Kluyveromyces lactis: one gene and its partners. The main gene of each other region encodes a partner of the protein of the gene in region 2 in a complex. Links are inferred from orthologs where the notes say so. Each region holds a gene or a part of one and is shown on either strand. Other genes may lie near its edges.

Evidence for each region.
Region 1: IML1 (region 2) and SEA4 share a complex: the UniProt entries of both Saccharomyces cerevisiae proteins name them as parts of the SEA complex. The link is inferred for Kluyveromyces lactis from reciprocal best matches to the Saccharomyces cerevisiae genes IML1 and SEA4.
Region 3: the proteins of IML1 (region 2) and MTC5 are in contact, whole or in part, in a cryo-EM structure (PDB 8ADL), measured with the Saccharomyces cerevisiae proteins. The link is inferred for Kluyveromyces lactis from reciprocal best matches to the Saccharomyces cerevisiae genes IML1 and MTC5. Residues at the interface, in NP_012672.1 of Saccharomyces cerevisiae: Phe292, Gln298, Asp336, Met379, Glu380, Arg382, Lys383, Leu386, Asn387, Tyr394, Ser395, Val396, Ala397, Gln526, Met527, Met528, Gly529, Ile530, Thr531, Asn533, Glu534; in NP_010413.3 of Saccharomyces cerevisiae: His64, Pro67, Trp68, Asn90, Gln91, Lys92, Ile94, Asn104, Ala105, Ile106, Val109, His111, Ser114, Arg115, Asp136, Tyr138, Arg149, Ser153, Thr154, Trp157, Arg158, Arg188, Lys189, Gly190, Ser191, Thr192.
Region 4: IML1 (region 2) and RTC1 share a complex: the UniProt entries of both Saccharomyces cerevisiae proteins name them as parts of the SEA complex. The link is inferred for Kluyveromyces lactis from reciprocal best matches to the Saccharomyces cerevisiae genes IML1 and RTC1.
Region 5: IML1 (region 2) and NPR3 share a complex: the UniProt entries of both Saccharomyces cerevisiae proteins name them as parts of the SEA complex. The link is inferred for Kluyveromyces lactis from reciprocal best matches to the Saccharomyces cerevisiae genes IML1 and NPR3.

Annotation. Positions count from the first base shown.
Region 1 is NC_006041.1:580,608-587,017, forward strand, and holds SEA4 (Sea4p), read right to left. Parts: upstream 4,226-6,410; coding exon 1,328-4,225; downstream 1-1,327. Other genes in the region: PKC1 (protein kinase C), read right to left, coding at 1-547; NTO1 (Nto1p), read right to left, coding at 4,417-6,410. UniProt on the Saccharomyces cerevisiae protein: Component of the SEA complex which coats the vacuolar membrane and is involved in intracellular trafficking, autophagy, response to nitrogen starvation, and amino acid biogenesis.
Region 2 is NC_006038.1:351,020-355,673, forward strand, and holds the end of IML1 (GTPase-activating protein IML1), read right to left. Parts: coding exon 1,176-4,654; downstream 1-1,175. Other genes in the region: HOM6 (homoserine dehydrogenase), read left to right, coding at 108-1,156. UniProt on the Saccharomyces cerevisiae protein: Component of the SEA complex which coats the vacuolar membrane and is involved in intracellular trafficking, autophagy, response to nitrogen starvation, and amino acid biogenesis.
Region 3 is NC_006042.1:1,824,344-1,830,803, reverse strand, and holds MTC5 (Mtc5p), read right to left. Parts: upstream 3,977-6,460; coding exon 575-3,976; downstream 1-574. Other genes in the region: ERG27 (3-keto-steroid reductase), read right to left, coding at 1-315; ARO1 (pentafunctional protein ARO1p), read right to left, coding at 4,236-6,460. UniProt on the Saccharomyces cerevisiae protein: Component of the SEA complex which coats the vacuolar membrane and is involved in intracellular trafficking, autophagy, response to nitrogen starvation, and amino acid biogenesis. May be involved in telomere capping.
Region 4 is NC_006041.1:1,869,416-1,875,977, forward strand, and holds the start of RTC1 (Rtc1p), read left to right. Parts: upstream 1-2,811; coding exon 2,812-6,562. Other genes in the region: KLLA0_E20923g (uncharacterized protein), read left to right, coding at 1-109; KLLA0_E20945g (sugar porter family MFS transporter), read left to right, coding at 739-2,325. UniProt on the Saccharomyces cerevisiae protein: Component of the SEA complex which coats the vacuolar membrane and is involved in intracellular trafficking, autophagy, response to nitrogen starvation, and amino acid biogenesis. May be involved in a process influencing telomere capping.
Region 5 is NC_006042.1:1,679,201-1,685,754, forward strand, and holds NPR3 (Npr3p), read right to left. Parts: upstream 3,634-6,554; coding exon 1,099-3,633; downstream 1-1,098. Other genes in the region: KLLA0_F18216g (uncharacterized protein), read left to right, coding at 1-657; KLLA0_F18260g (zinc-dependent alcohol dehydrogenase), read right to left, coding at 4,217-5,263. UniProt on the Saccharomyces cerevisiae protein: Component of the SEA complex which coats the vacuolar membrane and is involved in intracellular trafficking, autophagy, response to nitrogen starvation, and amino acid biogenesis. Mediates inactivation of the TORC1 complex in response to amino acid starvation.

The DNA of each region.
Region 1 (6,410 bases), on a different chromosome or scaffold from region 2:
TGATGGCCTGATATTTTTTCAATGATTTTGTTAAGAGCTGAATCCTGTGTTTAGATTCAACAGATCCACCTTGTGCAGCACTGCTACTCCGCTGGTCTCCATCAATTTGGTAGAGTTTAGTTAACTTATCATTAGCCTCTTGATATTGCTTTTCAACTTGCAATTTGAACTCCAACTGCTGGAGCATGTATTGAATTCTTTGCGACAAAGATGGACAATCGTACTTTACCAGATCTAGTCTAGAGTATCTAAACTCATCTGGTGATATTGTAGATAGCTGACCAAAACCGGGATGATTGCTAGCATTCTGGCTGGTAGGAGTATTGTCTGGCTGTTGACTGACTCTCAACTTAGCTAGAATTTGTTCCAAGTACTCTATATTTTGTTGAGCCTCTCTAATATTGGTGTTGCATTTCTGTATGACCATGACATTATCAGTCTTTTTCTTCAATTGATTCGAACCCAGTATAATGTTTCTTTCCCTTTCGATCTTTTTGTAGATGTCCTGTTCAACAGGGAATGCAGTGTGTTTACGATCTTCATCCATAGTTTCATACAATAGTAATATCTTTTTATGCTCAGTTCAGAGTGTTCATACGTTAGATGGCTAGTTGGTGCCTTATAAGTTCATGAAATAGAATCAACGCACCACTTTGACAGGATCTGATCTGAAACAATTTCAAGCTGTGTTCGCCCAGAATACCAATATTTTAAGATCCCAAACCACTGAGAAAAAAATGTTTGTAAGAGAAATATTCAACGAAAAAAAAAGTCCCAACTAAACTGACTTAATAAACCGTTGTTTATAGTCGTTCTTTCCTTTAGTTTTTGGTATCCTTAAAGATATTGTTGAGATCAAAAAAAACCATATATTTGTTTGTATCTGGATAGATCAAACTTTTTATTTTCTTAGTTTCGCCACATGATTTCCTGAAATAGAGCTCACGCATTTCAACTGATCGGGGAATCTTAACTAGTCACGTGAAGAGGCTTGCGCTCATGCGAATGACGGTGGGCAATGATGGAAAAGATGGCTTTAAGTTCCATCGCTGAACCACGGTCCATCCTATAACTCGATGAATATGCTCGGGGAAGTTTTCCAAGTATGGTACTGCGTTGCTAGTATCATTATTTTGTGGATGCGTAATGATTCATTCTGAAAGCAACGTTCAGCCGCTTGATATCTGCATATGAGATATTTGTATGTACTAATAGTGGGAGAAATGAGTTTTTGGCGAGGTTAAGGATTAAAGAGATTATATACGCTGAATAACAAGTTTAATGATTTATCCTAGAGCGTTTAGGTCCGAAATATTGGTAGAGTGTTTCATTGATGGCATAAACACGAACACCCAGGAACAGGACAAATTGAATGTCTTTCAAACCATTCCTCTGCATGACCGGCATGCATACCATGATTACACTTGAGACAGAAACTGAACCATTCGTTCATTTTCAAACGCTTTCTTTCCTTGACCTCGTTAATTTTCGCGTCGTCATCGATTCGTACTTCACATGAGTTGGTGGTGCCATTGATGACTATGGGGAGATTTGAAGTACCCAATGGCAAGAGACAAATAGCACATCTTGGGAAAGGCGTGCCACAATGTGGACATGAATGTTTCTGTTGGGGGACATCACCGTTTGTATTATTGAGGCCGAATTTCTTTCCTGCATTTAAGTTTTGATTAGCATGTCTTGGTAGGGATGCATTAGAAGACACATCAATGGGTCTGTTGATATTCTTCTTACATTTGGAACATTGTAAATACATTTGACGAGGTTTTAACTTCGCTGTAATTCGACCATCACTAGTCCTAGATAATTTTGTCTTGAGCACATCGAACTTGGCCCTCATAGTGAAAAATTCCCAGGAATTTAACATATGGCGATATGTTTCAACCCATTCATCAACTCTTGGGTCCATGAAGTATCTTGGGGAGCCGAAAACTGAAATTAGTGCAGCAGTTTGAATATCACTAGTCTTTCCAACGTACGATTGTAGAAGATCAATACCATTAGGCGTTATACCAGTCAAGATCAATCCTTCTAGTTCACCATTTTCAATAACAGTAGTAGCAGTTTTTTCTAAAAATCTGGTTAGATCTGTGTCATTTAGAAATCTAAGAGCAACACCAAGCCTTTCCCTTAGAGAGATAGCGCTCTCATACAGGATATCCCACCAATCATTGTCTGCAATGAATGCAAAAATGACTCTCAAATAGGGATCATCAAGCTCAGCAGCCATTTTTCTACATTGCTGTCTCCATGCATTGTCACCTGGCTTTTCACTATAAGCTTGATAACCTGCAATGGCCGCAGCAATGAGTCTAAGACGTTCTTTATTTGCAGATCCCAAAATAGATATAGCTTTCTGAACGTCACCGAAGAAGACAGCCCAGGCAGCAGCTTTCTCATAGTGATTTTGAGCTATTAGTGATTTATATTTTTCTTCGTAATCTGAAGGAGACAAATCCCAGCCACTAATAATCATACAGAGTCTTCTCTGAATGGCCTTTTTTGATGACATTTCGGAATTTAAACTGGAAACATTCCCAATTTTGTTTTTACTCTTGCTTCTCATCTTAATGATCTTCTCCAATTCCTTGTTTAACTGCTTTTCTGTGAGCATTCCTCCAGATCTATAACGATTCTGATTGGAGAGACCTTCAAGACCATTCCATATCCCTAAAACGCCTTCGTAGCCTAAATCTAAGTCTCCTGAAACCATTGTTCCGTCAGCTATGGATGCCTTCGCTATCGCCATCCATCTCCAAGTATTGCGAATGTAGATATTGTTATTGAAGTTATCGGATTTATCCATCATTTCGACAGTTTTCATTGGATCAAGACCATATCCCAGACTCGCGCGTTTACGCATTATAAAACTTATATCATTCTGTAACAGCTTCTCTGCCTCGATGTAAAACTCTTTAACGTCTTCAGAATCACTCAAGTAATCGCCGTCATCTTCCATACTTCCGGATGATTTTTTTTCATCCAGAGTTAATATCTTCAAGTCATCTCCTGTATCCAGGTCTTCGAAAGACAAGTTTTTTAGCCCGGTATCTAAATTTTCCAGCAATGAAACTTCATCCTCACCTGTTATTCTCAATTCGTTGACATCATTGTTTTGATCTGAGATAGACATTATGCTATTGTAGTTATTGATTTTCGATTGTGAAAATCCTTGTTCGACATTCATCCGATAGATAGTTCCGGATTGTCTCATGCATAGAAGACTTGTTCTGCCAGTACTCTTGGGTATATAATCGAAGGTAACAACACGATCAAAAGTCGTTTTAATGTCATTCACCGTGGAAACGAACAAGGAATCATTTAGTTCGTTATTCGACTCTAAATCTGGTACGTTGGCCAATCTCCAGCGTTTAATTGTAGTGCCTGCGTGTAATGTCGAAAACTCTCCACTTCTCAATGGAGACCATCTGAAACATGAATTCATATATTTTCTAGAAGCTGCACCATGACCAACAAGTTTGTCAAATTTAAGTAATGGTTGTGCCTCCAAAAACTCAGTGTCTTCAGAGTTACTTGCTAGCTTTCTTCTATCCCAAAAGGCCAACGTACCATCGTCAGCATATGTTGAGAATTGCCAAGGGTTAAAAGGATTTATCTTGATGTCATATGAGACACGAGTTGGATGCTGGTATATAGGATTAGGAGCTCTAAGGTCAATTTCTTTCAAGAGTTTTGAACTTGCAGCTAAGATGCTGGTATCGTCGACAAATTTCAATGACACGATACTTTCGTTCAAACAATATGAAAAAGATGGTGTGATAACATTTGATTCCGTGCTTTGGTAGTTTACATCCCACACCTGTACAGAGGCATCATGCTTATTGCGATCTAAACCCATGGCTATTAGGCCATTTGTATTTATACTCAAACTGTTGATAGTTCGCTGGTGCTTTGCTCGTACTCGTAGATCGAACGGCTCGTATGCATCGTCCGTATCCAAAATATTAAATAACCGTACAACACCGCTTTTCTCACCGACACCTACTATACCTTCATCTGTATTAGAGTAATCTAGACATGTTATATTTCCAAAGTCCTTTACTGTATTCACCTTAACGATGGACTCGTCTGTCTCCACATCCAGCTTCACTCGGTAATGAGAAACTTCATCTCTTGTAGGATTAACAGACAAAAAATCCAACCCTTCCACATTTGGCCAACAAGGAACGCGTTTAATCAAGCCCATGAAGTAATACTGGTGGATTGGCCTCGACAGATGCTTTACTACATTGAATACCGTAATATTATTTGATGCATCTTATCACTCATTCTGAAGTTATCTTGAAATAATTTACCGTATATAGTTTTATTACCCGGATATATGTACATAGGAACAGGAGAGTTAAGTACTGAGTGAACGAAAACTTGATGGATAATTCAGTCACGTAGTAGTCCTTTCAATTGTCTTTCCTGTTTGATCGATAAATCTTCAACATCAGCTAGTCCTTCGCGTGCAAGTATTTTCCGGCCCTTCCAATTAACCTCTTCTACTTGATGTGTTCTCTCATCTATATCGAAATCGTCATGTAATAAAGTATGTACATCTAACTCATCAATCTTAGATAAAAGTTTGTTAAGATCGTTGATGAGCTTAGATCCCATTATTACCAGTGATCTCGGTGACCTCTCATTGGATGTTATTTTCACTATATTTCCAACAAATTCATCCTTGAATTCTTGGACAGATAAGTATTCATCATTTTCAAGCCTGGAGCTAATGTAAGGTATGACCTTGAAATTTGAAGATGATTCGAGGTCTGCAAAAGATTTAAAAGATAAAGTCTTTGTGAGATTGTTCCACACAACATCCTTCAATATATACCTTATCGGATGGAACGCAATGTCGTTTATGATCCTTTGGTTTCTTACCCTTTCAACATTACATTCTTGTTTAGCCACCAAAGATGATGCAAGACCTTCCAATGAATTGAGGTCTCTCAAAAGAACTTCTGAGAATACGATTCTGTCATTTAGCTCTTCGGTATCTAGAGTATTCAAAGAAGATGGGCTGAACTTTCTTACCAAAGGAGCGCCTCTTTTGAGTTCTCTTTTCATTGTCCAGTACTTGCATATATCCAACGAAATTTGCTCGGAATTTGGAACATGAAATCTGTTTAAAACTCTCATTGTAATATCTGCGAAGGCTTGAGGTGCAATTAAAGTTCCCCTACTGGTTTTCCATTTATTCTTAATGGTTTTCTTGGCAGATTGCTTGTTTTCTTCCACGGCACTGTCTTGTAGCACCTTGTGATGATTAATGTGATTAAAATAATCCCTAGTTTTACGAATTCCGTCTTCACAGCTACTCCAGCCGTTAGGAGAATGTTTGTGACAAAAACTTTCCAGGAAAGCACCTGTGGAAAAGTTTTTTGAGGCAGCCTCTTGAACTGTACATCCATTGAAGTTCATGTATAATCCAGCTCTTTTAGCGCACGTAGTGTGATACGCTGCAAAACAGTTCTTATTCGAGCATTGGATGCAAGCACCGACCTCTTGTTTGCAAATATAACATGTGAGCTTCCATCGACTTTTCGGGATATTCTCTATTCCTCCAATCGGCTCCATATAGTGTAGATTTCCGAAATAAAGCTCTGGTATCCAAATTCCACATAACACATGGCCCCACGATCCGTTATCCGTTTGTTTGAAAGCTCCAGTGGTACTGGGACAAAAGAGACACTCGAGCTTTCTATTTTTGGATATCATGCATCTTCGGCAAAGCCACTGACCTTCTGGAATGAAAACTACACCATAGCATTCCTGATGTACGGCGATATCGCAACCATCGCAAAATACTATCGCATTCGAATTATCACATTCTATGCCTCCACATACTGCACACGGTTGATCCATTGGGTATCCAGTACCGTCGTCTGATCCGTATAACTCATGATGCTTCCAGGCAGCATGAGATTCATGCGTATTATTAGTAGCACTAGGTGATACTCTTGGTGGAATTTTCTTCTCTAAATGGAAAGCTTCGTTCTCTAATATCGTAATAACTATTTCGAAAACTTCGTGTGATAACTTATGCTTAGAATTTGTCAGTGCCGTATTTAAGTGCCGAAGGAATAAGTCATCTTGCTCATCCATATCATACTCTACCTTAAAATTAACCTGGTATGGCGAAACATCAGCAAAAAACTCATTGCTATGCTTCATCAATAGATCAGTCTTCTTACAGTATGACTTTTGATCTAATCCGCAAGTACGATCTGCATGAGATCTGTATCCGTATTTTACCAACTGTTTATTAACCTTGCCATGAGGATTTAGCTGTGATATCCGAATCTTACAGCGCTTGAACTCTGCGTTCTTGATTTGAGGTCCTAGCATTTCGATTGTTATGCTATCGTTTACGATCAATTGTT
Region 2 (4,654 bases):
ACCGTAAAGAATTTCATACTCAGAAATTGTTAGTCGTTCTGGCTATAATATCACAATGCTATGGGTTCAACAAGCCAATAGATTACGTTTTTACTAACCATCCACAGGTACTGGTGTCGTCGGTTCATCTTTCTTGAAGCAACTGCTTTCTATCAAATCCCAAATTACTTACAATGTGATTTTGGTTGCTAAATACTCTAATGCCCTAGTTTCTAAAGATTACTCTCCATTGAAGCTAGACGCTTCTTCTTGGGAGGAAACTGTTAATGCTGAAGCAGGTAACCCAATTTCTGTCCCTGAAATTTTTGAATTCTTGCAAAAATCCCCACTGCCAACCATTTTGGTCGATAATACCTCCAATGAAGAGATTGCCAACTTTTACCCAAAGTTCATTGAAAGCGGTATTTCAATTGCCACTCCAAACAAGAAGGCATTTTCTTCGAACTTGGAATTATGGAACAACATCTTTTCTGCTAAACCATCTAATGGTTTAGTTTACCACGAAGCAACTGTTGGTGCTGGCTTGCCAATCATTGGTCCGTTGAGAGACATGATCCAAACCGGTGACAAAGTTGTGAAAATCGAAGGTATCTTCTCTGGTACCTTATCTTACATCTTCAACGAATTTTCTACTTCTACTCCAAACGATGTCGGTTTCTCTAGCGTTGTTAAAGTAGCAAAGGAACTGGGGTACACAGAACCTGATCCAAGAGATGATTTGAATGGTTTAGATGTCGCAAGAAAGGTCACTATTTTGGCAAGAATTGCTGGATTTAAGGTTGAATCTCCAACTTCTTTCCCTGTGCAATCTTTAATTCCATCTGCCCTTGAATCTGTCAAATCATCCGATGAATTCTTGCAAAAGCTACCAGACTACGACCATGAACTCAAGCAATTGAAAGAAGAAGCCGCTAAGGAAAACAAAGTTTTAAGATTTGTCGGAAAGGTTGACTTCCCTTCAAATGTCGTTTCTGTTGGTATTGAAAAGTACGATTACTCTCATCCATTCGCTTCATTGAAGGGATCTGACAATGTCATTTCAATCCAAACTGAACGTTATACCAACCCATTGGTCGTTCAAGGTGCAGGTGCAGGTGCCGACGTCACTGCTGCAGGTGTCTTGGCTGACGTTATCAAGATTGCAGAAAGATTGTAAGTCTTTTGAATATACAAAACTACGTATATAGATTAAATGACTGGAACGAAGTATACTCGTCCAAATCAACCCTATTATCGATATGCTTTTCTTTAGCCTCTAAGAAGATATCTCTTAGCGATTCGTAATTTTCACAGGTTTTCCTAAAATTCAACATGATCTTTTGGGCATCTGAAGTGAATTTAAGATGCGATGATGCCTTACTACCTATATTACCAGTGTTCATTCTAGAAATGTGAAGGTTGTTCGGAGCCAAAAAGAAATCTCCACTTTCTCTAATTTCAGCCATACATGATCCAGTATAATGGATATATTGTGCATATTTGAACATCGGCTTCCCCCACGAATATATGATTTGATAGCTGTTTGTTTTCTCCGATTGGAAGAATTTCGAAGCTCTGTTGTCAAGAAGGAAACCTGACTTTTCCAAGAGATAGATGTGGTAGAAAAATTTTTGTTCACGGAAAATAGTCTCGTCTTTGAATTCCAAATCTTGCCATGGGTTTATAGCCAGCTTGATGTTCATAAACGAATGGAAGGGGTTGATTTTCGGTATGTTACAAAGTTCATCCCACGGAATTTCAACTAGTTTCAACCCATATCTTTCTGCCAACCTTGACCAGTTGCTAATCAAGTCGTCAATTAGCTTTGGAGTGGCTGTTAACCATTCCAAACGGATGTGGAAGCAATGATCTGGATTATGCACTCTGTCATAATGAGCTATGCAGGTTTCAAGTTTATACGACTTTCTACTTGGATCCAAATCCACAGTGACTGCATTACTTAGTAACACGGTAATACTATGTTCTTCAGGTTTGGTTATTTGGTCTTCTGATTGTTGATTACTCTCAACAGAAATCGTGGGGTCTATAGATTTTGCAGACTCGGATTTATTACTTGTCGAAATCTTTCTCATCAAATGACTTTCATTGCTATGCTTTGTGGAAGTCTTATAAAGAGTTTTGTTTTCTGTGGTAAATTCGGGATTTAACTGATAAAAATAATGCCCATCTAGAAAACCGTGCCTACTCTCAACGTGATGGAAAAGACCTTTATTCATTAATTCTTGTCCATACACCACAGCATCTTCCCTCGTATGAACGTCGGAGAAATGTTCTATCAACCAGTTTACCAATTCAAGTCCGATGAAACAGTTTTCATGCCGTTTCCAATGCCATTTTCTGTTGACTAATTTGATTTGATATACACCATGTTGGAGTTCGTAAGCTATTTTCGTTAGATCAGCATCTTTAGACAAAGTTTCAGCATCTTCCATGAAAATTGAATTCTTAACAGCAGCTCCCGAATTCTTTAGAAAATCATTGTGTTCTTCTATGAAGTCAAAGAGGTAGCCAGTATAGAAAAGTACTTCGGGCAGAATTTCTTCCTTATGTGACCTTTTGTCTTTTTTCTCATGTTCAGTTCTCAATCTGGATCTCGAAATGGAAGAAATGATCTTCCTTAAACCTTCTAACCTGATTTCTTCTGCAGTCAAAGTCTCTTTCCTGCCATTAATTGTTGATTGAAATGTGTTGGGTGGGATCTCCGCCGGAAGAATAACGAATTTGCATCTGAATCGTTTCTGCGTAGCTGGATCCATGATAGTATCATTAAAACCTGCTAGGACTTGATCAATCTGATTCCAATTATAGCTTTCCCTTCTAGTTTTCACTGGATCCAAATCCAACTCTCTATATTCTACCTCGTACCTTGTTTTAACATAAGGTGTGTATTTTGCAAAACTCTGCAACAGTTTAGAATCGTCATGTTTTATATATTTTTGAACATCAATAGTCTCGTCAAAACAGACAATTCGGTGAATTTCGTTATCAATTCTCAAATAAATGCTAACATCCCTATAATTCTCTTTATTGATTAAATGTGTAATCCTAGATCCGTCTGTATCTTTATCTCTGGCCTTCTCTACTCTTGTTACGTTCTTTCCCAAGCAAAATTGAAAGCCTGCCAACAATCTCACGTAAATCATATTTTGTAATAGGTCAAACACACTTTGCTGATATCCTTCCTGTTCAATATTCAAGGAAACAGTGTGATTTCTCAAGGAAAATTGGTGCTCAAAATCGAATGGTGTTGGGAACATGCTTGTGGTCAACGGAAGTTCTGCTGGGGTTGTAAAAGACCGCCACTTGGTGTACTTCTTGGCAACATATTTCGGGAAAACATCCTTCCAACGGTTGGGAATGAGGTAGCTAGCAAGTTCTGCGTCAACAGGAACGGATGGATTTTCTATTTCAATCCAACTATCACCTTTTATTCCATTTTTAGGCTTGTTATTTGGTTTGGATGTCTTGAGAGAAGTCTCACTTAGTAAGAAATTTTTATCTTGTACTCTTTGGTTACCAGAAGACTGTGAACTCAGTATAGATGTTCCGCATGAAGCTTCTTTTTTGTTATCATCGAACAATTGTTTCTGCTTGTGCAAAAGCTTTGGATTTGGGGACCTTTTATACTGAGATCCTGTATCACTCAAAGATGATGAAGAACCAGTCAAATCAGTAGGTTGTATATTAGCTTTTTGGCGGAGGGACGATTGACTCTTTTTAATCGCCAAATCTGGGAATAGTTTAGAGATTATCTTCTGTGTCACACCGGAATTTGCATGACTTAATCTTTTTAAAGTATTTAATGCCAAAGAATTCGTCGCCGTCATTTGGTTCTTGTATTCAAATTCAGTTCGTGGTAAATTAGAGTTCGGAGATGAAGATAGCTGAGCGAACACCTTCTCTTTGAAAGCTGGTTGAAGGACAGCATTAGTGGATTTTGGTTTCATCCATGTGATAGTATCAATGTGGTTAGTATTCCCCTTGGACTTCGATACTGTACGTCTATTCCAATCATTCTTACTCTCTTTAGAAGAGCGGAACTCCGCAGCAAGAGCAGCATCCATATGCATTGAGTAAGGGCCACTCTGAACTTCGAAAGCAGCAGAATCGTAAGATTCCATAAAATCTGATACAGAGTTGCATTTGTCGTTTATTTTTATGGATTGTAAGGCAATTTCCTCTTTTAGTTCAGTTTCAGTTAATCCCATCATTAAAACGTTGTATATTTTACATCTGGGTCGCCATTCAACATTAGCTCTGGAAGAATCATTCCAGAAGGATATACTTAACCAGGTTGGCGTGCAATAATGTAATTGGTCTTTGTAGTCTCTATAACGTAACAACGGAACTATATGAAGCGGTGGACGTGATAGACAAATGAGGTCCATTGTAATCTCTAGAGACATTAATTTTTGAGTGGTAATTTTTAGTAGATCATAGTCAACATCGTATAAACCTGAACCAGCAGTAACGATGATGGCATGTGTAGTCGTGTGCCGTAGATCATTTTGTTTGAAGGGATCGGTCACCAAAGTAGTTGCCAGATTAATTGTCTCCAACAAATTAGACTTTATGACAGAAGGAAGAGACCCTTTTATCACACTAACGTTTTCATTTAGCTTGACATTTCTGAGATCCTGTGCAATTCTTATAA
Region 3 (6,460 bases), on a different chromosome or scaffold from region 2:
TCCTTGAGCTGCATTCACAAAGAAGTAATTGATGTGATCGTATCTTTTTGACAAGCTGTAGTGGGCATCAAGAATGCTGATCATGTTGGTAAAATCAACCAGCAGGTAATCATAATCTACAGAGCCAGTCCTATTAATGGTATTGACAAAAGCCTTAATTAAATCAATGCATTCACGAACCCTAGGTAATGTTCTTGATGTCACAACTATCGTGAGGTTGTCCTCTGGCTCGCTTCTCTCAATCAACCGATATACGATATTCAAACCTAAATTACTGTTTGTACCAGTGACCACTGCTACCTTTGACGAAGACATGCTGGTTTTGAAATTATTGGTACTCAATAGCTACTAGTATACGTAAATCAGTGCTAATGGACGGGAACGGTTCCTGTAGCCTGGAATTTTTCGCTTGTGTCGCATCATCATCACCATCTATTTGGTTTTCTAGTTCTTTCAGAATTCCGGAAGGTTTATCATCTCGTTTAAATATCATTAAAACCCAGGAAAGAAGGTGTATCAACGACTGATGGTTAAAAGAAGATGAACGATAAGACACTGCTACATAAGATGCATTTTATATAAGTGGTTCGCTGACATCGAAGTTCTTTATACAGTCGCAACTACACCCAGAGGGGCACTCATCGCCAATTTTCCACCATTTTTCTGCGCAAGTCCTGTGAGTCACGTGCTGACAATTACCGCATACGAACACCAATCTACCGGCTTTGAGGCCACAGTAGCTACAGTTTTGTTGAGTGTGTCCGTGGTTAGATTCAATCCACCTATTCGATACACCTTTGTAAATATCCAATCCCGAATCTTGTTCGATCCCATGCAAGTATTCAGGTTCTGTGTTTAAATTTACATTAAACTTCAACAACTCGGCCCTATCCATAGGCAACCCCCATATATAAAGTATCTCTGCATATTGCGTTCTATATTGTCTGAACTTGGTTTCACATTTCGGATCTACCAACGAAGGTTCCAGACCTTGGTAGGCAAGATCCAAAACATCGTCATGAATTAGTTTGATCTTGATATCGGGAATTGTCGCTTCAGTTTCTACATACCCATTGTTCATATTATTATGGGATTTCCCGTTCTTGTTTCCGTTAGCATGATGATTTTGATGGAAATAATCATCAGATATGATAGAAGAGCCATCGTTCAATGAGGCTTGATTGGTGCCATATCTCATTCTCGCATTTTGTGTACCTGTGTCATTAGAGTAGAACGATCCGTGAGTGGAATGAACATGTGGCGATGGCTCGTATTCATTGTTATAAAATGTAATGATGTTTTCTGATAAAGTAGGCGGAACTAGTTTATAATTTGTTTTCTGATCTGGCCTTCCAAGCGTAGCAAAGATGCAGCTCATCATTGCAAGCATTTGAAGATTTTGGCACTTCTCAAAATACTCGAATAGTCTTTTCACTAAAAGTTTACCACCCAATGAATGCTGGTCCCAATCATAATTGTAGAAATCGTTATCTCCTCTTCCTATTAAAACATTAGAAATCATTCTCCAGCATTGCGCGATATCTTCATAGCCGTAACTTTCCGCAATGCCTGCATTGTACTTCGCAACAAATTCAGGAGTTTCCCGAAATAAAATATACTGTTCAGCTAGCTCTTTTTTGTCGGGAATCAAACTTTTAAAATCTTGAACGACTATAGATGACTTGCTTTTTTTATTTGAATCGGTGGTTTTTCCGGATACACTCGTAGTAGATTTCGTCTCATCACGGAATATGCGTGGCATCATTGGCATCCTAGTCCTTAGTGTGAGATCATTTTTCAATATATCATCCAAGAACTCAGCATAGCTATCATCACTATCATCTGAATCCGAATCTGATGATTGATTTAGTGATTCACTGGCATGTTGTGAGTTTATGGATAGCGCTTCTCTATAAGTTTTTGGCTTTCTTTGTTTTCCCGATACGTTATCCTTCAAAGTTTGTGACGCACTCTGGACATTTTTTGATCTCACAAAACCTCCAATACCAGTTCTACCAACATTGATTATGGCGTGTTGCTTTTTTTCAGTTTTATTCTCAGCTCTAAAGAAGCAAACAAGGGTTCCTTGAGCGGTCCAAACTGCTCCACAACCGTTGGGGACAGGTGTGCTATCAAATTTTGGTTCTGGTGTACTAGAATACAATTGCAAAGAACCATCCCCGACAGCGAATTCAACATCTGATACAGAAGAAATCTCTGTAGGAGCATCGCTATGATCATCAGATGAACCCAAAGATGATCTATCTAAAGAAGTTACATCTTCGAAATCAAAGCTGAAAATTTTATTGTCGTCCTCCATGTCGGAAATATCCAAGTTAACTTCTTCTCCAAGTAGGTACTGTAAACACGGCTCAAGGCAATATCGATTTGCATCGACATATTTTTTGCTGATTTCTCTTAGTCGTTCCATTATCTGAGTTTTTTGATGTTCTTTTAATTCCCTGTTCTCTTCAATCTTGAACGCAGGTTCATTTCCTTTCATGGGGTAGTTTGGCGGGAAGTTAATAATAATACGCATGAAAATGTATTTTTCTGGATCTTCTTCCACCCATGGACCATTTAAAGTAATAATTAACTCTCCTGTCGAAACCGAAATTTTTTCAAAAACAATTCTAGGGAACTTGTGCCCAACGGAAGTGACTTCTTCTCCAAGATTGTTTAAACTCACCTCTTCAAATAGATCATGCGGTGAATCTTCGTTATGCATTCTCACACCCGAAATCCATTGTAGTTGATCTATATTGTTGTCAGCTTTCCATTGGCGTAGTCCGGATTTTGTAACAAAGGTTTCCTTCGGAATTTCTATATTTGTGTACCGGGGATCTACTATATTATTTTCAGGTTCTGATCTAAAAGTGTCGTAATCATAATCTGGTAGCTTCTCCGGCAGCTCTTTGCCACATTCGTAGTGAACTTTGTCGTAAACCATATCGGGTACTGGCCATAGTCTTAAATCGCAATCTTTGGACCAAGTAACCAATTGGAATTCTCTGTCATCAATGATGGTATTTTGACTGTGCCTCGATCTCCATAAGAAGTCCGTGACTCTATCTGTATGCCCCTTGAAAACGTACGTTGGCTGTAGTTTGGTAGTCCTTGACTCAGAATTGCCTGAGTCATGAAAAGAGTTCGCCAAATATACAGAATTATTTCCTCCTATCATCGGCATGATGCAATATCCGTCCCCAAACGGGAGATATCGTCCTCTCCACACAGGAAACTCTGTGGTAATTGTCATCTGTAGTTCATCTTCAACTTTATTATAATCCCAGAACTTTACCGTTCCGTCATTCCCACTTGACATGATTTCGGTTTCGTTGAATGGATTGAAGTCGATGCTATTAACGCTTCCGCTATGACCTTCTAATACAGATAACGGAGATGTACCCTTTCTTACATCCCAAACATACACGATATTCGAGTGCGAGGTTGCTAATACATTGGAATTTTTGTGATTCCATTTGACTTGTGCAGCACCAGATCTCCAGTTACTGGTTCTAAAATAAGGCTTCTTGGGGCTTCTCATATCCCAAGCCAGGGCGTAAGTATCAATTGAACTAGTAGCTAGGATTTCTGGTTGCAACGGGTGGAAATTTATATCTGTAATGGCTCTGAAATGGCCATGTAATACATGCTCCACTGCTTTAGAAGAGCTTCTAGATAGATTCCATACAATTGCTTTTTGATTCGACGTAGATATAACCCAGTGATGCTTGGCCGGATGCGGGCACCACTGCACGTCAGCAACCTCCCAAGACGTGAGATGGTGTAACCATCGAGGCTCTGAGAAAGGATCATCCAAGTCTACCACATAAAGGCCCTTTCGACTGGCTAATACGACATCTCTACCAGATGGATTGATAGAAACAGCATTAAATCCACCATCAACCCGAAGAGAAAGTGATTTCCCGAAGGTTGGTGATGAGTAAGGACCTTCCCCTACGTATTCAGACATTCAATCTCAAAGTGTGGCTTATATCGAAACCTCTAAAAAACACGAACCTTACTAGAATTCAATATACGAATGATGTTTCCTATTGAATTGTGCTTTGTTTCATTATATATTCATGATTCATTTTTTCCTATCAACAGTTAATAATGCTTTAAGGAATATTAACAAATAGTGGATTAGACATACATAAAAAGGGGAGTTAGAAAGCTATTATTAATCATTCGTGACGTTATTTGAAGTTTAAATGTATCTAATGTTTTATCTATTCTTGGGTAACTGCATCAAAGATAGCTTTAAATGGTGGTTTTGCACCTGTCCATTTAGAAAATTGTTCCACACCTTGATGAACCAACATTTCAGCGCCCGGAACGATATTCCAGTTGAACTTATCACGTGCGAGCTTCATGATAGGGGTCACTGAAGGCTTATATGCGGCATCTAACAAGGTTGGTTTGAAGGAGCTATTTGTACCTTTTGCCAAAAGTCTTTCCAATTTGTTTAGTAACTCTGGATCTAAAGGCTTATCAGCTGGAACACAAGAAACAGCAACAGAAACTTGTTCCTTAATTGACTCTGTTTGTTCGGCAGATTCGACGACAACAATCTTATATTCTTCGGAAAATTCGGATTTCAGCTTTTGTAGTTTCTCCGTGGTTCTGTTGAGCATATAAATGGTGTCACAACCAATTTGTTTCAAAGCGTATATAGCAGCTCTTGAAGTACCACCAGCACCGATAATCAGACCTGCAGAACCACTAACAGAACTAGGAACACCATTTGAAACCAAAGAGTTTTTGATACCTAACCAATCAGTATTGTCACCCCTGAATTTGTTCTTTCCTAAAGGAATAACAGTGTTTACAGCGCCAATGGTCTTTGCGGCTTCGCTCAATTCAAACATACTATCAATAATATCTAGTTTTAATGGGATGGTTACAGCTAAGCCACCGAGATCTTCTCTGGTCAAAAGTTCTTTCTTAACTACTTCGATATCTTCAGTTTCGAATTTATCAAAATGATGAGGTAAGCCTAGTAGCTCATACCCAGTGTTGTGCAAGATCGGAGATCTGGAATGTCCAATTGGAGAACCAATAACAAAGAACTTCTTGGCTGGTAATCCACCGATTTGGTGATACAATTGGTTGATTTCAGCTAGTGTCAATTGACCAGGGGCAGCGGCGGATGGTAGTAACTTGGAGGTAACAGGTGTCAAAATATTATTTAGCACCCTGGATAGCTTACCTGTTTCAGTCATATTGATAGCAATTAGTGGCTTCAAAGTATGAGTGGACCTGAATTTTTCCAAAGCCAAATTGTCATCGAAGCTTACTGCTGTGCCAACGAACTTCACAATGTCCACGTCTAAAGAAAGAGCTTGGTTATATCTATTTTCCCATTCAGCATCATCCCATGGGAATTTAGCTGCAAAATCATGATGGGAGCCAATAATCTTTGTGTTTGATTTCTTGTTCAAAACATTGTAGAGTATGTTGTTAGGCAATGTCAACTCTAAATCGATGTATTCAACAGCGTTCTTCAGAGCGACCTTCAACAATGATTCAAGTAAATCATAATCATCATCTTGGAATTTCCCTCCTTGGCTAACTGTTCTCACAGTGAAAACAATAGGTAGCGATTTGGTTGCAGCTCTTAACAAGGAGATTTGTTTGGTGACAAAGTCTGAAGAAAAGGATGATAAATGATCAACTCTTAGTTCTACTGCTTCACAACCATAGGTTATTTCATCCAATTTTGACAAATGATCCGATAGGTCTTCGAAAGTCAAACAGACGAAAGCTGATCTCCTGGAAGGTACAGGAATCTTTTCAGCGCCAAGTACACGACGAATGAAGTTGCTGAACACATGTCTTAAATTCCTGAATTCAATTTCATTGGAGCAATGAGCCGCAAAGAAGGTAAAGTTCGAACATTCATGGTACCACTTTTCTCTTCTTTCCCACACATCGCGAATTTCTTCAATGTAAGCTGGTCTAGTTGGGTCGCTCTTTAGGAAAACGATTGTCTCTTCGATATCACGGTGAAGATGTAGGACGATACCGCCGCTTTCGGCAAACCTCTTCAAAGCCTGTCTTGATTCTGATCTTTCAACAATTCCACCGCCAGAAGATAACACATAGCCCTTGTCACCGTATTTGTCTACCGCTTCCTGGAATATCCTAGTTTCTTCCTTTCTGAACTCATCCCATCCAGATTCTGCTACAAAGTCTTTCACAGTACCTTTGCCGTACTGTCTTTCAAATTCCTCATCTAAATCAAGAAGCCTGTAACCCAAGGACTCAGCACACCACTTGCTGACAGTACTTTTACCAGCCGCTCTCATTCCTATAATGACTACACTTTTTTTAACTTCAGATGATTTTGTTGTTGAAGGTTCAGCGCCGTCAAGTCTTGCACCCAATTGAGAATGTAGGACATCCCACCAACCAGGCCATGTTTTACCGGTACATTGTCTCTCCAAAATTCTAA
Region 4 (6,562 bases), on a different chromosome or scaffold from region 2:
TGCTAAGAGTTGGAAAGTGAACTATAGCGCCACGGAAGAAAAATCATCAAAGCCAAACTCAGACGCACAATCTACCCGTTCAAGTCATACCCAGTTAGAACAGATCTGATCAATATTACGTTATCGTGAGCTGATTAACGGTAGTTTTCAATGCGAGTACCAATTGGTTGATAGATTACCTTCGAATTCTTGTACTTTCAGTGTTGTTATTTTTTTTTTCTAAGGTAAAAAACTGGACGCTCTCGTCCATAGAGCTCTTCGGCAGCCTAATGATCTTGATACAGAAGACTTCATAACACCAATATGATCGACGTTTAGGAAACTCTAGCATCTGTACGAGGTTTCTCTGAAATGAAACTTTTTTTTATTGTGTCAGTTGTAATGTATGAAATGTGACGCAAGTCGGCATACAAAAAAAAAAATTCATGATACCAAAAGGAAATAATCCTCGATAAAGTGAGGTTGAATGTGGGAATTCGAGTTAGAAACTCTAGATGTGAAATCTCTATTGGAACTCAGTATTTATGACTTTTGGAAACTTTTCAATGTACGAAAATTTTGTATAAATACAGGACAAAGTACACTGTCTTGAACACTTGAAACTTGAATAACGTATTCTCGTCTTCAAGAATGATCAAAGGTCTCATTTAGAAACGCCTAATAAGTTTAAACTTACAAAATCACCCAGTGTCGATAACAAAACTTCAAGGATCTAGCTGTCATACATCAACAATTGAAATGTCCTTAGATACAGAATCATTTGAAACTGCTGAAAAAGCAATTGAGGTAGTCACAAAGGAAATGGTATCTTTGACAAATTACTCAGCCATTGGATCATTAACCAGTCAGTTATCTCAGAATGACACTAAGTCAGGTGGAATTGAACAGAAAAAGTTACCGTTGAAACCAATATTATTGTGTCTGGCTACTTCTTTTGCAGGGTTTATCTTTGGCTGGGATGTTGGCACAATTGGTGGGATTACAAACATGGTATCATTTCAAAACTTTTTTGGTACCAACTTTGATTCTTCGAGTAATACACACTACTTTCCAAAACTTCTTATTGGATTAATCGTTTCCATTTTCAATATCAGTTGCGCACTTGGTGGATTATTTCTAGTGAAGATTGCTGATATTAATGGAAGAAAACCAGGTATTTATGCTGCAATCACTATCTATTCGTTGGGAACATTGATTGGCTGGACATGTGGCTCCTCTTGGTGGTATTTCTTCTTCGCAAGGTTCATTTCAGGACTTGGTGTTGGTGCTACTGCGGTGATGATACCAATGTTTATAGCCGAATCTGCTCCCATCAACATTCGTGGTGCCATGGTTGTGCTCTACCAGTTAATGATCACTCTTGGAATTTTGCTCGGAAATGTCATCAACTATTGTTGCAGATCCACTTTACACGAAACAGATAATGCCACATGGAAGATCCCTGTAGGATTAGGAAACGTCTGGGCCGCTATCGTCGCGCTAGGTGTTCATTTTATGCCTGAATCACCAGTTTTTCTTACCAAGAGGTTAGGAAGCGCTCTCAAAGCTAAGGCAGCTTTTGCCCATATGAACAATTTGGACGTAGATGATCCAATTGTGGATAGTCATATTAGGAAGATGATGGAATCAGCTGACGCGGAGGTATCTACTCACAATGATATGAAGAACAGCAGGTTTGAATTCATACTCGGTCAACCAAGATTAGGTTTTAGACTATTTATTGGTATTATGGTGATGGCGTTTCAACAGCTATCCGGTGCAAATTACTTCTTCTATTATGGTACAACACTTTTCAACTCTGTGGGAATTGAAGACCCATACTTAACGTCGATTTTATTGTCTTCTGTCAACTTCATATCTACCTTTTTCGGTATTTATTTAGTTGAAAAGTTAGGCAGAAAAGCATGCTTAATTCTTGGTTCCGCGGGTATGTTTACCTGTATGTCCGTGTATGCGTCAGTCGGATCGTTCGCACTTAATAAGTCGCCTCAAAACTCTGGTGCGATTATGGTTACCTTCACGTGTGTTTACATCATGTTCTTTGCATGCACATCGGGACCTGTGTCCTTTGTCGTCATTTCGGAGTTGTTTCCAAGCAGGACAAAAGCGATATCCATGGCAGTGTGTACCTCAATCAATTGGCTTTGCAACTTCTTCATTTCTTTATGCACACCATATGTCACTGATAAGATAGGCTTCAAGTTTGGGTTCGTTTTTGCTGGTTGTCTATTTGTCTCATTCTGGTTCTTCACTTTCTTATTGAAGGAAACTAAGAACAAAACTCCTGAACAGGTTGACGCATTGTATTCTATTGACAAGCAATAGGCAATGGACCATACAGGTATACTTCTACAAACAAAGAAATTTACAATGAGCTCAACTGTTCACATAATCTACTGAAGCCTCCCGATTTCTCTGTTCGAGTGTGCGCTTGAATCGCTCTCCTTCATATAATTTCACTGTGTAAAACCTATTAACTTTCTCATTACGTATCATTTTACAAGTGTCTCAATGGCATTAAATTTGTAATTATTTCAGAAGAATTTTAATAACAAGGCATTTCTGTCTCCCAGCCCTGTGATATCTTAATACTTCTATTTACTCTTGTGTTGTTTTATCGGGCTCTCACTTATCAATCACCGAAGATGATTCCTGATTCCTCATATATTTACTCAACAAGAAAAAAAGGAAGAGATGGCAATATGTAATTGAAAATATGAAAGCACTCACATACTATGATTCAAAAATCCAGCAATTGGTTGTAAGCCAAATAAACCGGTGATCGAGAGCACTGAGTATTGTTGCTCAACGATGTTTAAAAGAGGTTCAAACAGAGCTACTTCGTCTTCTCAAGGGCAGCAACCAGAAAATCCTCCCTCTCTGAAATATCAGTCGTCAAGTTCACGATACTCTTTTCATCGACAGTACAACACAGGTTTTGGAACTTCACCTTTTAGGATATCACCTAAGTATAAACCAGATAGCCGCACTCCCTTCAGTTTTGATGGTACGGGAAATGTTGGACCAGAGAGCTCTCTTAATGAAGAAGAATCAAATGCAAGATGGAGACCTTCTGAAAGTTCATTTGACAAACGTAGAACTTTCCACGGCGCTAAATACTCTCTGAGTATCGGAAAGGAAGTCTCAAGTATAGATAAAATCAATTCACCGGAGAGCAGATCCTTGATAATAGCAGGAAAAAGCCATTTAGGTATTTACACTTTCGATGAAGATTCTAAGACGATAACTAATGTACATGATTTCTTACAGACAGCGAAGACAAATACTGGGATCACGAAGAACACTTCATCGACACTACGGAGAACAACAAAAAAAATTTCAACCATATCTGATGTTAAAGCTGGCTTTTACAATCACAAAAACTATGTAGCAATTTGTGGTACTTCAACGTCTGTTGCGATTTACGATATTAATAAGACATCAGCGATAGACAATCCAGTTGTAACATCTCTCTCAGAACATACAAGATCTATCAATAGTGTGGATTTCAATATGGTGCAGACAAGCTTATTAATTAGCGGTGGACAAGATGGATGCATAAAGATTTGGGATTTGAGATCTCCTAAAATCTCCACCACTAGGAGTGATGTAAGTATCAACACCGGGTCTGATTCCATTAGAGACGTAAAATGGATGCCTTCTTACGAGTTTTCTAATGATACCAATGGTCTTTCAAACAGACATTTCAAATTTGCCAGTGTGCATGACTCTGGATTATTATTGAAGTTTGATTTGAGACAACCAAACCAAGCTGAAAAAAAGATTAATGCACATTCTGGTCCCGCCTTATGTTTGAATTGGCATCCGCATCAGGACTACATTATTAGTGGTGGAAGAGACGGAAAATGTTGCTTGTGGTATGTAGGCGACAAATCTAATCAAGTTGGTAACATTAGTAGTACCAACCTCAATTCAAGTAATCCAGCAACGCATAATTTATCATCATCATACCCCTTGGGGCTATCCAACACCCTTGCATTTCCTGAGCTCACAATAAATACCGCTCGTTCCATGAATAAACTTAAGTTTCGTCCAAAATATGAGACGAATGTATTCAATTCATTGATTGGGACTTCATCCATGGGCGAAGATTCGGATGTATCTGTTTATTCGCTAGCAAGAAAATATATTCCTAAAAACGTTATTGCTTCCAGTGCACCTTCTGTTGGTTTTGTCTGGTGGGATGACGACACGATATTCAATATAGACAAGCAAAATACCGTTACTGGGTGGGATATCTCTCATGAACCGACTGTACTTGATAATTTGCCGAAAAACACAATAAAATGGAGAGATTTGGATGGCGATGGTATTCTGTTTTTGGACCAAAAACCAGGTGGGTATTTGTCTCAAGAAGAGACAGTTTTGACACCAGGTAGTGGAGAGAATCGCAAGATGCCTTTCACACACAGAATGAGTAGTGCAACTGCTAACAGTTTTACTGGAGGAAATAATCCTAACATTACAAGCAACACAAGTAGCAGTGCCGCAAGTTTCTCAAAAAACCCGACACTTGGCATGTCTCAACTTCACCAGGGCAACGTATTAGGTGAAAGGTCAACTATGTCAAAGCATGCACAATCCGTTAACAGCAAATTTTCGCCTTCGGTTAACAGCTCGCCGTGGACCAATCCGTATTCGTCCCCTCATCATAACTCAATCGTGTCAGGATCGGAATCGGCATTACATGCGGTTAATGATTCCTTTCTACAATCTCCATATTTGATAGGATTAGACTTTCCGCATATTTTGAACACAATACGGAACACTAGGCTCGCAGAATTTAACAGAAAGGTCGAAAGTGCAGCTTTATTAGAATTAAAGTCATCTCCAACTGAAGTTTTCAAGTTTTTAGCACGGGAATTGAAGTTTTCGTATAAATATAACAGTATTGAAACAAAAGACAACGGCCGAGAGCTTGATTCATCGAGCACACATGGCTCAGTGGATTCTAAAACGAATTTGATGGAAAAGTTGGGGTTATCTGAAAATAATACTTGGACTCATTTGATCAAATATACGAAATCTCACGACTCTGACGAAGTCATATCGAAAGGCACAGAGCTTAAAACACCAGTTTCTGACAAAAGTGCTAATATCGAAAAATCAGCTACGAATCATAAAGCTGAAACCAATCAGGATGAGAACAGTTCCTGCATCAACTCTTCAAACCAGGTAAAAACCAAAAACCTCATCGAACTGATAACTCTATGTGATAAGAACGCTGAAATTTATATCATGCTTGAGGACTTTTCAAACTACAAAATTTGGCTTCTAATGCGGGATTCATTATTATGGGACTTGAAAGTCCTAACCGAGTCAATGGCTGTTGACGTGACAGCTGACCAAGAAGTCAACGATCAATCGTCCATTGACCAACCTTGGAAAAAAAATGACAGTTTTACTAGCTTGAAAGAGGCAAGGCAAGCATCTGTTGCTAGTGGCTACAGTTCATATAGTGCTACGGATCTGAGCTCCTCGGTAAATACAAATAATAGACATTCTTTCAACGAACCCACTCATCTAACCCAAACTCCTCCAGTATCACATTTAAAGGCTCAACTTCAAGGTTCAAAAGAAACTACGACTATATCGAGGGCTGACTCGATTCAAAATTCGTTACAGAACGATATCATCGAAATTAGAAAGCTGCGTCAATCTCATGGAGATAGAGCAGAACTAGCAATTGATGAAGAGGAAGAAGGAGAAGAAAGAGAGGAACTTACAAAAAGGGCGTTCGAAGAAGATGAAAACAATAAACAATTCATTAATATCCCAAGAAGGGAATCAGGGCCTAGCGCTCTCATGCCGAGTCCTTCTCATGTTTCCTCACAAAGCGAAATTCCTTCAAATCCGGAAAACCATCACCAGCCACGTCGGCCGCGGACATCTTTTATAGACTCCTTCATGTCACAATTACGTTCTCCAGGATCGTCAAATGTTGATGCTGATAGGGAAAGTACTGGTAGCAAAAAATCTTCCATGCCAAGCTTTAGCTCTTCGGCTGCCACATTTTTGAATAGCAAGAAATCGCAAAACGCGAATCATAATAAATTGAAAAGCGCAACTGAAGTATCAGATATATTGGAATCTGAATTTGCTACTCAAAAATCATGGAACGGGAGCGTTGCAAAAACTACAACTCAAATGTCTGGTATTACTGCTCTTATGAATGAAACTAAAAAACTGGAAAATACTATTACCCCACCTTGGTCATCAAGGCGATTAATTCATCAATTATACGAACAGAGTGTTGCTTCAGGAAATATCCTACTAACGATGGCAATTTTGTTATTATTTCAAGATATGTTTCAACTTGTTGATACAGAGACAGTTAAGAATTCTATAGCGGAATTTACCGAATTATTGCACCGGTACGAGCTATTTGAGATTGCAGCGGAGTTGATGAAAAACTGTCCTTACGAGGATATTTCTAGTTCAAGTGCTGGCTTTTCCTCCATTCAGTTATTCTGTGATAAATGCAATAAACCTTTAGTTAACGAATCTTCCAAGGAGAAAATAATCAAAGAAAGACTTGAAG
Region 5 (6,554 bases), on a different chromosome or scaffold from region 2:
TTTTATAATGAAAATGGTAACCAGTATGTTTATGGCACAGAAAGCAAAAATTATCCCAACAAAACAGACAATGGAGTTGAAAAAGAAAATGCTTATCTAGAAGGTCCTCAGCAAATGCATAGTACCCACTTCAATAGGTCAAAAGACGATATCGAAAATAGCACAATTGAAGAAGAAGATGATGAATATGAAGTCGATGAAGACAATGATGCAGAGGACACACATTTCTTAGAACACGAGTCCAACTCATCATTCACAACTTTCAGCGCAGGCACTGGAACGTTCAAACATAACAATGCGCATAACACTGGTTCTTATCAAAAGAATCATAGTTACAAGAAGCGAAGAAATGTAGATGCACCAAGGCATGGTAGGATGGATCCAAATTTCTACTACGGCCCGCCAGTGTACTACCCAATGGAGTACTGTCCACCTTCTGGTAGCCCCGTTGGCCCTCCGCCCTCTCACTTGATTCAGCCGGGCGCTCACTTGACGGGACAGTGTCCACCTTCTCAACATTCCCCATTCTTTTATTACTTCCCTATGCCACCTCCTACACCGACATTTACTAATCCATTCCCACACGAACACCCTGGCGGTATGAACTATTTGGATAATTCTGTCTCTGGACATGATAAAGCAGACCTCGACTATTGAATATGTCATTTTCTTTCTACTTTTTTTTAGCGTAATCATTGCACTATCTTAGGCCCTCCTAGTGATTAACTCTTTTTCACCTTCTTTTTAGTCAACCACAGGGCATATACTCGGCACCGTCTTATAATATGTTCCCCAGTGGCGTTTCATTTGTACATGTCCTTCTCTTTTAGATAAATAAACTTAAGATATCATCTTAAACTTTACATGCATGGCATATATATATAGATATGTTTTCTGTTCGAGCTTCTCCGGAATTACAAACTGTTATGGTTACAACATGCAAAACAAAAAATATAAAACACAGTGAATTGATTAGTTATGACATAAAGTTATGCAACTCCAAAAATGGCTTATTATATAGTACTTAATTATTATGCATTGACAAAATCCTGTGCGTAGAATCGATTAGAAGAATAACAATGTAAGGGGATAGGGCATTTACCAGTGTTTTACTTCAACGATGTACTTACCTAAGGCCTGAAGCAATCTTTTTATCTCATTTTTAGGAATACCTTCCTTAATCATAATGTACTCCAAAGAAACCTTCCCATTAAAGTATTTCACCACTTGTCTAAATAGCGTTTGAAGATCAGTAGGTAATGCCTCAGCACATTTGTACAACCATCTCTTTTCTAATGCAGTATTACGTTCTGGTTCAAGAATTATAGTGAAATCATTATCGTTGATCATCTCCAAATCATCAAACTCACTGGAGTTATAATTTTCACCTCCAGTAACAAAATTACCGGACTTTTCGTGTTTGTTCGATCTTAAGTTATCCTTTTCTAGATCCTCATCGACAGCTATTTTAATGCGCTTGTCCACACGTACATACACAAACGTCAATAATTGAGTGAGGTATCCGTACCTCATGAGCCATGCCAGGGCATTCAAATACATAGATTTATGTTCATTGGATGGTATGATATGCCCGAAAGGTCTGGGTTTCTGGGTTGACATAAGTTGAAGGAACGATGGCAAAGAAGGTAAGGAGGGAAATTTTTCATTGAATACCTTCTTGTTTTGGTATATCAACGACGGTTCATCGTTGTTATTCACAGGAACTTCTTGTTGTCTTATTAAGGTGTCGTATTCGCCATGTTTGAAGTCATCAGTTGAAAATCCTGAGATTGGCGCCAATGGAGAAACTATATATGTGTTTCTCGATGATATTGGCAGTATCAAACGGGCGTGACGCCAGTATATTAAATGTAGACATAACGACTTTAAAGTAGTTTCACAGAATTGATCATCATATGAGGAATCATTAGAATCGATTAGCTCTTTAATTAATAATTTATATTGACCAAGCCTTATAGTGGGCTTCAACTGTCTTACAAGGTTGATCAAAAGTAAATCAGTAACGCCGTTATCAAAGGAAGCGTTTTCAAGCCCTTTTATAATATTTTCAGGTTCATCGAGCAAAAGCAATCCATAATCTAGAAGCCTGTCGTGGTTGGCATACAAATTATCTGAATCTTCGTTTGTCAAGCTAGTGCTTCTACCAATAAAACTTTCGTTTAGTATTGAGGATAAGAAAGATCCACGAAGAACAGCATCTTCTTTTAAATTTGGAAGAATGGAAAATTCATTTTTGATTGGAATCTGCAAGGAAACAATTTTATCACCATCAATTTCAAGATTAGCAATTTCATTGTTATGGATGCAATTGAAACATTTTGTTAACGCTCTAGCTAGTGACGATTCGTAAAGAATTCTTTCATACATATATTTTCCTTTAGACCAGGGAGATTTTAAAGACTCATAATATCGAGAGTGTTTAGAAACTTCGTCCTTACACTTCATAATTTTCACGCATTCCCTAGTGACATAACCGGTTTTTCCTTGTATGTACCTTAAAATCAATGATAATCTAGTCACCACGTAATGATACATATCATCGACTCTTTCATTATATTCTATGATCTTTGGGTTCATGATGAAGCAGACCTGGAACATGTTTATACTCTGCTGCAAACTTTCGAATTCATCATTTTCCGCATCAGGCACACAGTACATTTCATTAAGCATTTCTGATTTGGATGGTTCATAATCACTATTCTCATCATCTGCAGGTTCTTCAACATCATTAATGTGTCCTTGACTCTCTGTTTTAGATCTGTTTCGACCAATACTATTTCGACCAACACTATTTCTACTAATACTGTTTCGTGCAGTGCTACTTCTAGCCGAACGTTTGGAAGCTTGCTTTCTCTTCTTTGATTTCTTCCATCTTCCTTTGTGATCCGCGTGAATTGGCAACCCTAAGAAACATAAGTCATCCACAGTGAATTCAAATCTGGTGTTACACATCTCCTTTCTTGGAGAACAGAGTTCAGCTACAAATTCTGTATTGAAATTTAGTACTTTTGAGATATCCTGAAATGTATCCTGCTGAAATATTGAACCATCTAGCAAATCGTCTACCAAGATTTTCAACTCTTCATCTACTGCATCCAATTCATCTTCTGGTCTCGGATCAGTCGTACTAGACATATTAGTCGATGTTCTAATCGAGTGCAACGATTCCCTCAACGAGTTTTCGCCATTGATTGCAACATTGTTATTATTCTGATTTAGCACTTGAAAGAGTTTATTCGCACTAATCTGAGATTGACGAGATCGTAGACCATTATTGATAAATGTATTGTTTGTACTGCTGTTTACAGTATCCTCATGATTTGATTGTGGAAGGGAGTCTAACGATGATTCTGATGCATCAGATGAACAATCTGCATAGTCAGTCGACAACTCGCTATCACTCAAACCTGAAGAGTAGTCATCTGAAGACGAATTGTTTTCAGAGTCCGTATACTCGTATCTTTTCTTGATATCTGGGTGATGCGTCTTCTTCGAATTGGTCGCAGTAGCATAGTTGCTTGGTGGATAATGATAAATTAATTGTGGACCCGAATGAGTTGAAACAGTTAATGCGATTTGTACTAAGCAGGAATTCGGTAAATTCGTGGACATTGAGCTATTCCTATCTCTTGGAGCTTCATAGACTGCTGAACTCTTAGATTGAGGGAAAGATTCTTTCGAATTAGCAGTTATACCCCAGTACTTTTGTATATTAGGTGTTTTATCAGTTAATCAAGTAAAATGACTATCGTATTTTCATATTTTTCATGTGTAGATATTTCTATAATAATAAGGGAAACTATATATGACTGGAGAGACAGCACAAGTAGACACTACGAAATCTCCTTTGGTTTGTTAATATCGGGGTGTCGTATATGCTTAAGTTTTTGGAACAGTAAAACTCAAACGTTGCTGAATGTATTTGAGGGCTTTTAATTTGTCGTGTGGTGTATGTTCCTGCAGTTTTAACTTTCAAAATTAGATAAGAACAAACAGAGATTAAAATATTGTCTGCTAAGAAAGTAGGATCGCGTAATCGATACTAGAACATCTCAAAAGGTCCTGATGTTACTACTATTATTCTTGAAAGTTTCATTAAACGTAAAATATAGTGCTATTGAAATCAATTATGTATGAAGGGATTCAGAGCGAGAGAAGAAAACCGGATTCATTATCGAACCATATTGAAGTAAAATTATTTTGAGGTGTCGACAACGTATCTACCAACGATTTCACCCTTGACCATCTTGTCATAAACATCTGCCAATTCAGATAATCCGACTATCTTAATTGGAGCATGCACTAAACCTCTTGCGAAGAAATCTAGAGCTTCTCTGGTGTCAGCTCTGTTACCGACGTAAGAACCAACAATGGAGACCGATTTGACAACTTGTGTAAAGACATCAGACTTACATTTGGCGTCCCTTGGTAGACCGACCAATACAACGGTACCGTTTGATCTAACGTAATTGGTGGATTGTTCTATAGCAAATTCGGAGACAGAGACGTTAATGACACCGTGGGCACCACCGTTAGTAGCGTCAACAATTTCTTTAATCAAATCCTTAGAGACGGCATAATCGACGAAGTATTCACCACCTAGCTCCTTGAACAACTTAGCCTTTTCAGCACCGGTATCAATACCCAAGACTCTGTAACCCATAGCCTTGGCGTATTGGATAGCCAAAGAACCTAGACCACCACAGGCACCGGAAATGGCAACCCAGTCACCGGCCTTCAAGTCAGCAGATTTTAGAGCCTTGTAAACGGTAACACCGGCACATAGAATTGGAGCAACTTCAGCCAAATCGGTACCCTTTGGAATTCTAGCAGCTTGAACGGCATCAGCGGTAGCATATTGTTGGAAAGAACCATCGTGGGTGTAACCAGACAAGTCAGCATCGGGACAGTTGGATTCATTGGACAATTCACAGTATTCACAGGACATACAAGAACCGTTCAACCATTTGATACCAGCAAAGTCACCAATGTTCCAGCCCTTGACATTTTCACCCATAGCAACAACGACACCAGCACCTTCGTGACCACCAACTAATGGCAATTTGGTTGGCAAAGGCCAGTCACCCTTCCATGCGTGCAAATCGGTGTGACAGACACCGGAGTACTTGACGTTGATCAAAAGTTCGTTGGCCTTTGGCTTTGGAACTGGAATGTCCTTGTATTGCAATTCACCACCGTTTTCGTAAAAGATAACACCCTTTTGAGTTTCAGGAATGGACATTTTTTAATTAATATTGATATTCTTTTTAGCTTGATTGCTTGTTATTCAGTATGATAGCTGATGGTGATTTATGTAACTAAATGTGATTGGAAGAACGACAATTATTACGATCTCAACAAGAGAATTGGAAAATATACTAAAATCCATCCCCTTATATAAGTTCTAATTTCATTTCTTTTCAAAAACCTAACCCCATCACTTTCATAGTTCTACCCTATAACTTTGTGGGGGCATCCTTTAACGGTTTCTCCAGGCCCGTGGTGAGCTTTAGACAGTATAAGAATCCAGTGCTATGTCTAGCTGGCAAACAAAATTTAGGGGAACCTCGATGCCCATATCTAAACTAAGCTGAAAAAAAAGAAAGAAGGGAAATCGAGATAGATTGTGATTCTTTGACAGAATTCAGAATTCAACATCACCTGTTGTTGCATCGATACGGTCTGATCAATCGGAACTGCTCGGTTCCATCTTGACCGATTAAATTCTATATGGGGATTAGAAGCCAAGGAACAGCCAGCCATTCGAAACTTAGGACAAATAATCTAGCCGACATGCGACAGAACTGGATATAGAAGAACATAATTGGCAGAGTTTACGCAGACTACCAGAACAGAGCAGGACAGAATATGGTACGATATTGATCGTGCCATATACACCCGTACAGACCATACAGACCGTATAGTGACTATTGAAGGTCTATTATTGGTAGCCTTCAAGTGAAAGAAGGACCCACTGGCTGCGACATCCACTAACGTGGAAATAGCCTGACTCTGTGAGCTTCCCATTTTTTGCTATCGAATATCACAGGTAAAAGGCACCCCACAAGAGAGTATCTGGATTCCTATCATTTTGAAGAAGATATGAACAGAAAAGTGGCAGCCTGGATGAAGCATATCACTCGGAGAAAAGTGAAGAAGACAGGCAGCTGCGGATCTTTTTCAGTGGGGCAGAAGAAAAGCCTAGAAAAAACTTGTATGGAGGAAAAAATGCCAATTGCCTATAACGATAAGACCGGGTAATAGACATATGTTTTTCCGTTATCACCCCTCATTTTGAGACTTCTATGTTCTTCACACAAGATGTGAGCTGATTCAGACCATAGGATTCCCAAAATTAAGGGTTGTAATGCATTTTCACAGGTCTCTGGTTCACGACCTATCCCATTTATATACCATCACACAACATCACTCCAAAGGTTATCACGTAGCGTCCCTAACCTTTCGAATTGTATTGGGATTGGATTTATAGCTTTAATTGAAGCGAGTGCAAGCGCATGTGGCGTGCATATATA